2 linked regions of the Oreochromis niloticus genome follow. The main gene of each other region encodes a partner of the protein of the gene in region 2 in a complex. Links are inferred from orthologs where the notes say so. Each region holds a gene or a part of one and is shown on either strand. Other genes may lie near its edges.

Region 1 (7,493 bases), on a different chromosome or scaffold from region 2:
AAAATGAGGTGGGTTGTGATGAACACTAAACAAATAATTAGAGGGGAAAACAATAAGTAAGTTCACAGGATTATGACCTATAAACAACATAATAATTTGTTTTGCACTATTTTGAGTCTTTAAGTAGTCCTAGGCAGTACAACTCATGTATACAGTCACCAGAGAAATACGGCGACTGGATCTGGGAGTGGGCGTGAAGGACACTCCTCCACTGGGTTTGTGTAGCTGTCAAACCAGTTAGGATGGTGGCTGTGAAGCAGCTTAGGCTGATCTGTCAGCGTAGACTTCTTCATAAGATGTTTAATCAGTTATGATGAGCTCGTCGCAACCCCAGTCCTCGTAACTCCCATCGGGAAGGTACCTGCGGATGATGATGGGGATCTTTCTGCTCCTGTCGGTGAGGACAAAAAGACAGAGATACTGTTACAGTCACCTGCTCTTTAAATAATGTCACTCACACATAAAAAGAGAAATGACATAAAGTCATCAAAGAAAATGATGGCTTACTTTAGTTCTTTCATAGCTATCTGCAACGGGTCTGTTTCTCCCTCCAGCTCCACCATAACTGGAGCACACATCCTGTTGGAGACAAGTCAGCAGGTAAACCACATCATTACAGTGTTGGAGCCTTTTTTCAATGCTCAGTCTACAAACACCATATCTTCTTCTTTTGGGTAATTGAGGGTTAGTATTTAAGGAAGTCTGGGTTAATCAGTGACAGGTCCAAGTGCTTTAAGAGGAAGCAAGTCATTTTTGATCGTGCTTTACTTTGTGCCGCAGAGTTTCCTTTCTCTTTTTTATTAATTTGGAAAGGTTTATAGAAGGTAAATGAGAGGCATATACTACAAATGAAGTTCAACATAGTGCAGGGAAAACCTAGCTATCTGGCTTGACAAAACCTAAAACCCCAGTCAGAGATGGTAGGTGTCATCACAGAACTGTTTTTGTTAAGTCAGGCTCTTTGTGTGTTCACATATAAGAAAGGTGGCGTCCGACACGATATTTGACTCTCCTTTAGTGCAGAATGGGTCAAGTGAGCATCAGAGACATTTTTAAGTTCTACAGGTAGCATTTACAAAACATCTCACTTCAGCAGAGAATCTATATCACATTTACAGCCTACTGGAAATAAAAAAATCAGTGAAAATGTGCCACTTCTGAATGATTTTAAACTAAAACTTTAACCATAACATGCTGCTGACCAGGCTGTGTGTTTAGCATAATTTACTGTGGTGATCTGGCCAGGTCAAAGAAAAGCCATCTTTGTGACACTGAAAACGCTTAGCCTCGTCTTACCTTGCTAACCCATTAATCTCACTTTGTAGTACACACCTAAGGTTAAGATCAGAAGGTGCTCACCTGAATCCAACTATCATCTATAAAACATGAACTCTAATCACAGGTAAACTGATATTTCTGGTGCTAATTAACTTTATATTAACATGACATTAAATGCACCAGCTTCACTCAATTATTCATGATCCTTACCTTTGCTCCTACAAAAGACAAAGTAACACAGTGTACTATACCGGTGTACTACACTGCAGTACTCTTTTACATTACTCTTCAGCATAGATCTATATTCTATGACAAAACTTGACAAAAGGACCAAAAAAGTGTGGACGAATATTTTCAACATCTCACTCTCACCGACTGTGGTGCCGTACAACTCACTCTGATAGTTATGAAATGCTTTGAGCAGCTGTCAACATAAAGAACAACACTATGCTTATCAGTACACCTACAGGAAGAACTGCTCTGCATCACACAGAGTGTTGTACACTTCGCTCTCATAAACACAAAAGTGGAAACTCCTATGTCAGGTTGTCAGGAAGATCGGGAGACTGGTGTGGGAAACATAACCTCTGTATCAGTCGGACGTGGAACGTTAACACCTCCAGCATGATTAACCTTAAACCTAACCATGAGGCAGGCCTGCCTTAACAGCCCAGTGCTGGCAGCAGGTGTGTGGTGGAGAGTACAATTACTTTCTTTATCACCACCTTGAACAGGAAGTGGTCTACTGCTGACAGGAAGTTACTGCAGAAAGTAATGTCAGCTGTGCAGCAACCTCATCTCCTCTCCCTTCCATTGAGGACATTTGTCTCAGCAGGTGCAGTAGTAGTGCCTTGGATCATGAGGGAACCCACCCACCCAGCAGAGTACCAAGGCCATAGGTCACAAGGCTCAAATGCAGCTTCTTCCCAGAGGCTGGAGGATTGGTGAACTCCATACGTCAGTGGTTGCGCTTGCACTGTTTTGCCCTGCTCAGTTTTCAATGTGTCTTGTTTTTTTTCATATTCTCTATTAATTATTTTTTAAGACTTATTCTTAAAGATAGGTTATTGTCTTGTCTGTTGCGGGAGGACAAATTTCATTTACATGTGGAAGCTGTAAATGACGATGAAGAAACACTCACGCTATCTGGAGGGCTCGTGTCCCCAGCACTCTGGCCCTCTCGTATTTGGTCATGTACGGAGTTGTGATCCTCTTCTGGTTTGCCTGTTGGCCCTCTCCCGCGGGCAGGATCTGCACGTTCTCCTGGTCATCCTGTTCACCAGAAAACAACCAACAATAAACATGATACAAAGGCAATCAGTAGTGCTAAAAATAAAACTGACGACAAACAACAAAAGCAAAGCAGTGTCTGTGCTGTCCAGTTAAGAGAGTCATCAACTTACGTCTTCCACGTTTTCGAGATCATCTAATCCCTCATCCTCCTCGGCATCATCAAAATCTCCATCATCGAAGCTGCAAATTTGACACAAAGTTTTGTTTTTAAAGACAATAAATGGATTCTAAAGACAGCAAATTGTCAATGAGTTTATACAAAGCAGTTAGCAGTGTGGCTAACCGCGTTAGCTACAATGTTAGTTCGCGCCAACTTATAATAAAGAAACAAGCATTTTAATATGAATTTCATTAAAGTGTCATCATTACTTACTTATCTTCGTTGTCGGACATGTTTTAACCTAAAGTTTACGTATAAAATTACTCAAACGGTAGAAGAAAGTCAACACACTTTGTTGTTAACACGGACCCACATGAACGCTACGAAGCTTAAACTTCCGGTGGTTTGGTGCGCTGGAAAATATTCCGGATGAAAGAGAGGAAAAGGAACTTTTGTTTTTCCTTTCCACTTGTACTCCAGTAAAATTATATTTATTTATTGTTTTTAAATCCCAAAAAACAAACAACAAAAACGTTGATTGTTGTAATTAAAATAAATAAATAAAATTCGCCATTTGTCGTACGAGCGGTATTTCTGTTTCTCTTTATTTTTGAGTGGCGTCAATGAGCCTGTAGCTTTTTATGACCTCTAATTTTACTTAGGAAAACATTCTTTTTGAAACTATGAGAAATAGATAATTTTCTTTGTTAACATAAATGCAGCTGCTTAAATGCCATTTAGCCTGGGCTTCGTTTAGACTTGACAGCCAACATGTTAGCTGGGAATCTCCACAGTGCCCGTTGTGGCCCAGTTTTTTCGTTAATGTTCAGACGTCAAACAACCTTTCAGAATAAGATCTTCTAGAACGAAAAATTAAGACTCATATTTTGAGTCACCAAGTATTTTCAGCCTCTCCTCTTTATTATTTTCCTTTTACTTAAAATCATATTGAAGAAAAAAAGACTGCAAAATTGAGAATGGACATAATCCTACATTACTGCTGTGTTAACAGGCACATTGTGCGTATATATAAAGTATTTTTTGTCTGTTTTTTGATGAATTCAAATGCACTACAGACAGTACTTAACATATGAGAAGATTTATTTCACACTTAAAAAAAACACAAGTATGTGATACAATATCATAAAAAATAAGATACTGACAATTTTTAGAGTGAAAAAGCACATTAATAATAATGTATACATCGTGCCGCCTGAGAACAATACATTTTGTTTGGTGATGTTACTGAGCTGGGCTTTAACACACAATTAGTAAGCATGTACTTAATAAGTGCATATTTCATACTGTTCACAGATGAACAATGAGAACTTCTGACACTTCTTCAACTCTTTTTGTCCACAGAGTTCTTTGTGCTTTCTTCTTTGTGGTTCAGGATTTTAAGTACTTTTGTGGGCTTGAAATCTTTTTTTGACTTCGTTAGCTCTTTTAATCCTTCTTTCTGGAAGTCTGAGAAGAGATGGAAGAGCAGCAAAACAAACATTAAGCAGTAAGCAAACATTGACATAGAGCATTATTTGTAATCCAGCGAATCCATTTCTTTCTGCCTTCGTTATACAGAAAAAAAAAACAGAAGATACAAAACAGTACCAAAGAGCTTTTATTAGAAGACTCGTTATCTTACCTTTATTCATTATATCTTCCCAAAGCACGTTATTTTCTCTCTCCCTAATCAGAAAAACAAAGTTGTACTCACATAAAATTTACAAATGCAAAAGCATAATTTATTTTTTTCCTTAAGTACCTCTGTCTGTCCTGATCCAGGCTGCTGATGATGTGGTTCCTCTGTTCAATGATGGTGACCAGCTCATCCATCAGCTTCTTCTCTTTATCTCGATCCTCCTGACTCCAGTTCTTGTCTGTGTGTGCAGATGATGACAATGAAAGTTCAACACAATAAGATTTCATTTAATAAATCAGCGATCTTCATTGGATTCCACTGATAGGATAGCAACAATATTCTTATAGAAACATATTAATTCATCTCAGTGCCTTTTAAGAGCCAACTCAGAGCCTTCTTGTAGTGTTTCTTGTTCTTGTTGCACCATTTAGCCTCAAAAAGCATGCCAGGATCCAGTATTACTTACCAGTCTGAGAATGGCAAAAGTATGTGACCCTCTAAGATTAACTGGTAATTCAAATATGTGATTAGAAACAAGTGTTTTCAGTGACAGACTTGACAATCAAATGTGAGTTGGTGTTTCTGTTTCTCATCAGGCTTGAAAAGTTCACAAAACCATCTCTAAACTGTTTGGACTTCCACCAGTCTAGACTTACAGTAGTGAGTTTTCAAATGGAGGAAATGCTGGAGCATTGTTACCCTCCACAGCAGTGGGCGTGTTGTAGTGCGGGAGGTCACAAAGGAACAAAGGTTAGTGAAATCTCAGACTCTGCTCCCTCACAGTGCCCAAAATTGGATCACTTTCCACAAAAAGAAAATGACCAAGTCTATTACTATGCCACATTTGTTTAACTGGGTCTTCTTTCCTTCTTTTAGGATCATCAACTATTCTTCTTTCCAGCTGCAGTCACCACAGTGTCTCATCTGCCTCATCAACACTCTGCATGTCTTCCTTCACTACATCTATGAATCTCGTCTGTGGTCGTCTTCTTAGAGCATCAGTCTTTGTCCTCTCTGTGGAAAAACAAACAGCTCCTCAACACCACAAAAACTAAGGAAACAATGGACTTCTGGAGAAACAGACCCTTAGCCTATCACATCAGCAGGGACTGTGTGGAGAGGGTCTCTGACTGAAGTTTCTGCGGCTGCATCTGGATGATGATTTAACCTGGAAAACCTACACAACTGTGCTGATCAAGACGGCACAGTGGCGACTTCACTTCCAGAGGTTTCCTGAAAAACAATTCCCTAGCCAAGGAGCTCAAAGTGTACAGGCGGAACGGTTTCCCAGTGTGGTTTGCAAGCTGCGCTGCTCAGGAAACACTCCAGAGGGTCATCAGCGCAGCCAGGAAAATCATCGACTGTGCTTTAGAGGACCTCTACAGGTCCTGGTGCCACAGTAAAGCCCACAGTATCCTGATGGGCACATCACACATTCCAGCTGTTACCCTCAGGGAGGCGGTGCAGTTGGAACAAGACAAACAGACTGGAAAAACAGCACATCTCCCAGAACTAATGTACACTGAAGAATTTCCCTCCTCTCACTAACCCGCGCAACCAGTACTCTTCAGCAGTGAACAACAGTCTAATAATAATGATACACACAGACACATTTAAACACACACAGATTGAGATTGTTAGATTGCCTTCTGTGCACTGAATAGGACTCCATACAATTTCACTGTACTTTTCTTACATGATCATAAAGATTCTACATGTTTAGATATCTCAGCCCCTCTAACTATGTCTCTGAACCATGTCACAGCAGGTCTCAGCTTGTAAACATTCCTTTTCACCGTTGCAGCCATGCTGTTACAAATCACCCCTGACACGCAAAAATCTGATGGCAGTTATGTCAAATTTCTGCTAAAGACCTTTCAACACGCCTACAGAACCTTGGATGAAAGACTATTGATCCCTGAATTATTTACAAGCACCCCCGGTAATTCCCCTTGACTATGGAGATCAGTAATTCCCGTTAATGTCAAATACAGTTGCTGATAAAAGTGACCGAACGATGCACAGAGCTACATACTAACCAGGTTTATTAAAGAGACACCGGAGTTCGTACTCCACGTCGGTCTGCCTGTCCTCCAGGTTTTTCTGCTTTGTCCTGAGAAATAGAAATTACACAGGTGTTTACGATGCTCAGAAAACAAGAAAAAAAAAAGAAAAGCCGCACAAGTGAAAAAACGCTTACAGATGAACCAGCTCCGTGTCGTGGCACATCAGAACATGCCGCTCGTGGATAAGAGAGAACCACTGCATTAGCATTTGTTCCTCCTGTTTATCTGAAATAAAAAAGCAGGGAGCGTCAATTTATTGGCATTTACTCAAAGCGGCTTCACAATATCGAGGATTTTGTGCCAATAAATGATTTTATTTAGGACGAACCATTTTTGCAGCCTCTCAGGTTCCTCTCCAGTTCCACTCCTTTTCCCTCCAGTGTCTCCAGATGTTGATCCACTTCTCTCATCTGCACCTGCAGCTCTTCTGGGGAAGTGCACTGATCTGTCTGCACCTGTCAAGCAATAATTCACACACACACAAAAAAATGCACAAAGTGACTAAACCTTGTTATTCTGGGTAAACTACTCAGTTTGCTCAAAACGTCTCGTGTTAATGATGAGTCTGCATGTACATGACACAAAGGCACATCTAGAAATGACTCAGAATTAGAGTTTGAGACCTTTGAGTTTGTTCTAAATCCAGCTGCTGTACCTTTCTCTTGATGAGTGGGAATCCATGGCCAGGTGCGGGGCCCCGACAAGGTGAGAGGTCCTGAATGGTATTTGATTTGGATAATGTGGGTCTTTGAGCCTTAGGATCTTTTTCACAGGAAGGCTGAAAATAAAAAAATATATATAAAATGGAAAACTGTAAGAAACGCCATGTGAGATTGTCCTCTGGTAGAACATGAAGATGTGTGTTATGTTTGGTCTTTATTGGTTAACTCTGATCTCTTGTCGTACCTTACTTTGCCACGATGTGGCAGCTTCATCTGTCTCTGTTTGACCGACAGGTGCAGAACGAGGGTCAGAGCGATCAGACGCAATGGCTGGCACAGAGAGACTTCTGGGTAAAATGCGACTCTGTCTTGAAGCAGGAATGGGACACGGACGTGCTGCTTCTGTCACATCTGACGGAGCAATCTTACCACCATCTCCACCTCCTTCACCACAA
Region 2 (6,972 bases):
TATGTGTCACGATAACCAGTACTGAATGATTTTACAAACTGGAGCTGACAAAGGTCAGGAAGACAAAGAATTGACTTCACCAAAGTGATTTGGAGGGGAAAATGTTTTTCAGTTTGATCTGTGGACGTGTCCTACTAACATTTAGCCTTGAAAAGTAAAATGGTTGAACTTGGTGAGACTTTGAATCATATTTTCAATCCACTTTTATTACATTACAATATGTCATTTTCTTGTATTCTTCTATTATTGTAGCGTGTTTACCTTACAATATGAAGCGCCTTGAGACATTGGTTGTTACGGTGTGGCGCTATATAAAAAAATTTGAATTGAATGCGTAATGTGAAACATTGTGATGTAATCTTTACCTTTAGCCTTTTTATTTATGTAATAATAATAATAATAATAATGTTATTTTAAATGAGCAGGTGCCGCGAGGATAGAGCGTCCCTCTCTGATGACGTCACGTGTGGACACCTTAAAGCCTGCATAAACGAGAGCACCTCTCGCCGGGTGCGGTGGCGCGCGCCTGTAATCCAAGCTACCGGGAGGCTGAGGCTGGCGGATCGTTTGAGCTCAGGAGCTCTGAGCTGCAGCGGACTATGCCGATCGGGTGTCCGCACTAAGTTCGGCATCGATATGGTGCTCCTGGGGGAGCTCGGGACCACCAGGTCGCCTAAGGAGGGGTGCACCGGCCCAGGTCGGAAACGAAGCAGGTCAAAGCCCCCGTGCCGCTCAGTAGTGGGATCGCGCCTGTGAATAGACGCTGTAGTGCAGCCTGAGTAATACAGCGAGACCCAGTCTTTTTACACTATTTCTCCTCTCCACAGAAATATACACCCAGCACACAACCTCATACATCATGTTTTAACAGCTTATAACACCATCAACACAGTTTTTCTCTCCGTCCTTTCCATTAAAAAACACTGGTTTGTTGGTCCCACAGCGCCTCCACCTGGAGAAGAGTGGCAATTACATCACTCATTGCAACTTCACAGAAACTATTCACCTATACGTTTTTTTCTTCTTTCTACAAGCTTAAGTTGGCTAAAAGAAATGGATGGATGTAGATGGATTGTTACACATCTGTCCAAACTAACAGAATTGGATTTTGTTTTACTTCTTTGAAATAATTTTTTTTAAAGAAGGAAAAATCAAGAGACTATAAAAACTAAGTCACATTTACTTAAACTGCTTGTCTTGACTTCATAATAAATTTTACTGCAGTGCACATCACATGTACAAACATTTCGACTTTATTCATCCTACCTAAGGACTAAATACTTCCACAGACTGATAACAGCCATAAAGACTGAAATTCTGCCATGTCTTTGTCTGGATTTTACTTTTAGCCCTCAAATTTGTCTCTTGTGTAATTACCAGAATCTCAAATGAACAACAACTGATGCCCACTGTCATTACTGGACTGTAGTCTACTGCCTCCAATCATCCAAGAAACGACATAAAATAATATTAACTGTATCTTTTTTGCTGAGGATATTGTAAAGGTTGGCTGAGAACACATTAAATTCACTTCCTTTTCACTTTACAGCTGTGGGTCAGTGCTGGATATTTAGAGTGCTGATGTGTTTGGCCACAACTGAAGAAAAACTCAGACTAACAAACAACATCAAACTAAAGGGAAAATAAATCAAAACAGGGAAAATCCACATTAACAATTAAAAAGGTGACTGATGAGACAACTCTGCACAGACATACTCCCCCGATATTACATCCACCTTGGCCTGCTGGCCACCAGTGTCTTGAAAGACAGTAGGTTCTAAAGCTCTAGCACACAGAGCCTGTAATTCATTACTTAACCCATTTAATCCCAAATTTTCCCTTGTAAAATAAGTGCATGCATTTTAGTCCTTAGACTTCCCCTACACACAATATGTTTACAGTTTTTTTTTAATGTAATGGGGGTTAAAACGGCAACAATTGTTGTCGGTGGGATTAAATGGGTTGACTAAGATGTAGCAGTGCTTTATGTGCTATCAAACAGAAGTCTGTTAAAAGTGAGGAAACATTAGCCAAATAGAATGAATATGGCACATTCCTCTGGGAACATGACTACAAATGCAGATCAGAAGCTGGGGCCATTCTGGGTTCAAACTTTTAGGGCGGCTCAGCTCCCAATCATAATGTCTTGCATGCAGTGCCTGGTAATTAATATTAAAGGAATATGCTGTTTGCAAATGTTATTTAAGTTTTAATATTTGCAGACTTCAATTCAGTATAATAAACATCACAATGTTACATTGAAAAGCAGCCTAATTAGTTGGATGACCTGTTATAGTGTCTAAAAATAATTTGGAGTGAATAATCATAGATTTTAATATAATCCACCCGTTTTAGAGTGGAGACTTTAGTCATCAAACCCAAGGCAAAGGCTCAGTCGTTAAAGAAGTTTTAAAGAACCGTTTATTGCAAAGCAGATAAGATGAGAAACATGGACAACATTATTTCAGTCTGTTAATCACATAGAGGCAGTCCACCAAATCACCAAGCACTTAAAGTAGCATCATTCAGTACAGACACTGGATATTCAAACTGCCACTCCCTGTGCACGAAGCAAACTGGTAATAGAGTTGTTTTATATGAAAGTTTTTGCATTCATACAAACCCTCCTGTCATTATGCAGACTCAGCACAGAGCAGTTTTATTAACAACTCCTCAGCTCAAGGAGACTATTGTTGTTTTTCTTTACTAAATGTTGTAGTGTAAAATGATTGCTGCAACCAAAGTGTAATAAGTGGAGTTGTGGATTATGTGTCAAGATAACCAGTACAGATTGATTTTACAAACTGGAGCTGACAAAGGTCAGGAAGACAAAGAATTGTCTTCACGAAAGTGATTTGGAGGGGAAAATGTTTTTCAGTTTGATCTGTGGACGTGTCCTACTAACATTTAGCCTTGAAAAGTAAAATGGTTGAACTTGGTGAGACTTTGAATCATATTTTCAATCCACTTTTATTACATTACAATATGTCATTTTCTTGTATTCTTCTATTATTGTAGCGTGTTTACCTTACAATATGAAGCGCCTTGAGACATTGGTTGTTACAGTGTGGCGCTATATAAAAAAAATTGAATTGAATTTGTAATGTGAAACATTATGATTTAATCTTTACCTTTAGCCTTTTTATTTATGGAATAATAATAATGTTATTTTAAATGAGCAGGTGCCGCGAGGATAGAGCGTCCCTCTCTGATGACGTCACGTGTAGACACCTTAAAGCCTGCATAAACGAGAGCACCTCTCGCCGGGTGCGGTGGCGCGCGCCTGTAATCCAAGCTACCGGGAGGCTGAGGCTGGCGGATCGTTTGAGCTCAGGAGCTCTGAGCTGCAGCGGACTATGCCGATCGGGTGTCCGCACTAAGTTCGGCATCGATATGGTGCTCCTGGGGGAGCTCGGGACCACCAGGTCGCCTAAGGAGGGGTGCACCGGCCCAGGTCGGAAACGAAGCAGGTCAAAGCCCCCGTGCCGCTCAGTAGTGGGATCGCGCCTGTGAATAGACGCTGTAGTGCAGCCTGAGTAATACAGCGGGACCCAGTCTTTTTACACTATTTCTCCTCTCCTCATAAATATACACCCAGCACACAACCTCATACATCATGTTTTCTATAGCTTATAACACCATCAACACAGTTTCTCTGTCCTCTCTTTCCATTGAAAACCACCGCTGTTTGTTGGTCCCACAACGCCTCCACCTGGAAGAGGGTCGCAATCACCACCACTCGCTTCACTTGAGCTAAACGAATTTTTATGCATAACTACTCCCAGAAGATGGCGCTAAGCTAGCAGTGAGCGAGTCTACTTACACTCAAAAAACGTAAGCGAAGAAGAAAACGCTTCTCTTCCTGTGTAGGGCATGTGCTTCCTGTGTCAACCATGCACATGTGGTAAACAAGCGTAAGCATGGATTTTTCAAGTAAGTGGAGTGATCTTCCTAAAGGTCCGAGTCTGAAAAATTTGACAGATGGAAGCTTTGGCCACATGAAGGACACCCAGCATGCTGCCATTCAGGATCTGACCAAAGCTCACATCGAGTCGTTTGACCAGGCGGTCATAGACGGACTCAACCGCGTTGTGCAGGTCAGCAAAAGTTTCTTTAAAGTTTTCAACAATGTGATGAATCACTTCATTAAGACCAGCGATTAACCCCAACTAGTTAAAACTGCGATTAGTTACGTACACTGTGTGACTCGGAGTTGTGTAAGCTTGTCTTGAACACGCCGTGCAGTCATATGCAGTGAGTTACTGTAGGTAGGTAGGTAGGTAGGTTAGTGAAAGCCACCATAACAACGATGAAATGAGTGAGTGAAGAATTTGGTTTCCTGCTGGGCGACTAGCTGCTGATATCAGCTCCAGCAGTATTTTCTCAGCTCAACCTGCTGTGAACATCCCTCTTGCAGTTGCTTCCCATAATCTTTGCCTTTCTTACGTTTCTCACTTTTCTGTCACCTTTCCCAGGCCATCCCCCCCTTAGAGTTCATGTTCAAAAATGAACGGATCAGCCTTGGTTTCGTTGAAGCTGCCATCCAAAACCCAGTGGTTGCCAAAGGGAACATCTGCAAGGAAATGAAGGTGTTCCCAGCAGAGTGCCGGGGAAGAAGATGCTCGTACAAAGGGAAAATAGTGGTAAGCCTGAGTCGTGTTTATATTCCCAGAGCAACATTAAAATAATCCATATTGACTGGGTGAGTGTTGCCTCACTTCAGGCAGACGTCAGCTGGTCGATCAACGGAGTTCCCAAAGGCATCATCAAGCAGTCTCTGGGTCATGTGCCCATCATGGTGAAGTCCAAGCTGTGTAACCTGCATGGCATGTCCCCCAAAGAGCTCGTAGAGCATCACGAAGAAGCCGAGGTAGGATATGGCAGTTGTACTTTCAAACTGAGCCAGGATGGGTTTAAATATTGTCCTATAATACCAGCCTCAACTTTGACAGGAAATGGGAGGTTATTTCATTGTGAATGGAATTGAGAAGGTTATCCGCATGCTGATAATGCCAAGGAGGAACTATCCTATCGCCATGTCAAGACCCAAGTGGAAGAACAGGGGTCAGGGTTACACTCAGTACGGTAAGTATTACTTCTAAAGAAAACAGTGCAGCAATGACTCCACGCCTGCATGTTTTCACTGGCTTTTTCTCCTCACAGGTATTTCTATGCGTTGCGTGAGGGAGGAGCACACAGCCATCAACATGAACCTGCATTATCTGGAAAACGGGACTGTGATGCTGAACTTCATCTACCAGAAAGAGCTCTTCTTCCTCCCACTAGGCTTTGCGTTAAAGGTGAACAAGCTTTCATTACAGAACAGATTATGATAAAAATGCTTTAGGCTCATTGTGTGCTCATTTGCTGTCATGTTCCTCAGGCTCTGGTGGACTTCACAGACTTCCAGATCTACCAGGAGCTGATCAAAGGCCGCGAGGACAATTCTTTCTACAAGACCTGTGTTTCTGAGATGCTGCGCATCGTCACGGAGGAGAACTGCACCACCCGCAGCAAGGTGCTCAATTACCTCGGAGAGCGCTTCAGGGTTAAGATGAACCTCCCTGAGTGGTACACAAATGAACAGTGTGCCAACTTCTTGTTAAAGTAAGCTCTGGGGATGGATACAGTTGACACTATTCTGCTTTTTTTTGGTGGTATGTTTATTTAAAAAAAGGGTCTTACTCTGTTTTGATCAGTGAGTGTATCTGCATCCACCTGAAGTCAGATGTGGAGAAGTTCTACCTGCTGTGTCTGATGACAAGGAAGCTCTTCACTTTTGCCAAGCAGGAGTGCATGGAAGAAAACCCCGACAGCATCGTGTGCCAGGAAGTGCTCACTCCTGGTCAGCTCTACCTCATGTTTCTGAAGGCAAGAATCTTCAATATTTTTCGTAGTTTTCTTTTGTCTTTGTCCTTTCTCTTTTGCTGAGCAGGAGGACTGTAGTAGCATTTCAGCTGCTCCTCTTAGGCAGATCATTTGCCTCCATCTCACCCGATCGCTAACATCTTTCACAGCAGCCCTCTGCATGTCCTCCTTCACTACATTCATGTTTCTTTTCTGTGGACTACTTCTTGTCCTTTTACCTGACTGCTCCATATCCACAGTCAGTGTTGGGGAGTAACGGAATACATGCACAGTGGTCCCTCGCTGTAATGCGATTCACCTATCACGGCCTCGCTGTTTCGATGATTTTTTTGGTGCAATTTTCCATGTGTGTGTGTTTTTTTTTTTTGTTTTTTTGTTTTTTTTTTTTCCAGCACATTGTGTTCTGCATCCTGATTGGCTGTAGACCATTGTCAATCAATTTCGTGCCGTGTCTCCTGTTTAGTACAGAATGCGTTCAGCTTGTTAAATTTAGATAAATCTTCGATCGCTAGCAGTGTGACTCTGAAGTGCTGCACTGTATGTTTGTAAGTTTTCTCCCCAACAAACACAACAATGTCGACGAGACGTTTTGCACCATTAAAGGCAACCGCGGGTGATTTGGTTTCATTCTATAATACTGGACTTATTTTTCTACGAAGGTTTGAACTTTGAAAATGTTTAAACAACAGTGAAAAGTGTGAAAATGTTCATGCCTGTCTGAGAAAAGTGTATAAACTGTGTAGTGAGTGGTTTTACAGCCTTAAAACATCTATTATAATTGTAAAAAAATAAAGTTGGCTACTTCGCGGATTTCACCTATCGCGGGTTATTTTTGGAACATAACTCCCGTAGTAAACGAGGGACCACTGTACCGGCATTACGCATTTAAAATACAAAATATGAGTAACTGTATTCCGTTACAGTTACCGTTTAAAAAGGTGGTATTCAGAATACATTTACTTTGTTGAAATAAATGGATTACACGGCGGTCTTTTCCTGATTCATATGTTAGGCTATGCCCTCTTTTGGTAATTCCACGGCGGTGGAAAATACATTTTGGGGCATGTATTCTGTAATCTGCAGTGGAATACATTTTAAAAGTAA

What was found.
Region 1: polr1b (region 2) and polr2f share a complex: the UniProt entries of both Homo sapiens proteins name them as parts of the pol I pre-initiation complex. The link is inferred for Oreochromis niloticus from reciprocal best matches to the Homo sapiens genes POLR1B and POLR2F.

Annotation. Positions count from the first base shown.
Region 1 is NC_031969.2:9,906,697-9,914,189, reverse strand, and holds the start of polr2f (DNA-directed RNA polymerases I, II, and III subunit RPABC2), read right to left. Parts: upstream 3,106-7,493; 5' UTR 2,965-3,105; coding exon 2,945-2,964; intron 2,752-2,944; coding exon 2,682-2,751; intron 2,551-2,681; coding exon 2,420-2,550; intron 580-2,419; coding exon 508-579; intron 392-507; coding exon 301-391; 3' UTR 1-300. Other genes in the region: MICAL-like protein 1, read right to left, coding at 4,014-4,138, 4,314-4,357, 4,434-4,548, 6,350-6,423, 6,511-6,601, 6,705-6,831, 7,032-7,154, 7,283-7,493. UniProt on the Homo sapiens protein: DNA-dependent RNA polymerase catalyzes the transcription of DNA into RNA using the four ribonucleoside triphosphates as substrates.
Region 2 is NC_031978.2:25,915,704-25,922,675, forward strand, and holds the start of polr1b (DNA-directed RNA polymerase I subunit RPA2), read left to right. Parts: upstream 1-3,920; coding exon 3,921-4,097; intron 4,098-4,475; coding exon 4,476-4,643; intron 4,644-4,723; coding exon 4,724-4,870; intron 4,871-4,952; coding exon 4,953-5,085; intron 5,086-5,163; coding exon 5,164-5,300; intron 5,301-5,383; coding exon 5,384-5,607; intron 5,608-5,699; coding exon 5,700-5,871; intron 5,872-6,972. UniProt on the Homo sapiens protein: Catalytic core component of RNA polymerase I (Pol I), a DNA-dependent RNA polymerase which synthesizes ribosomal RNA precursors using the four ribonucleoside triphosphates as substrates.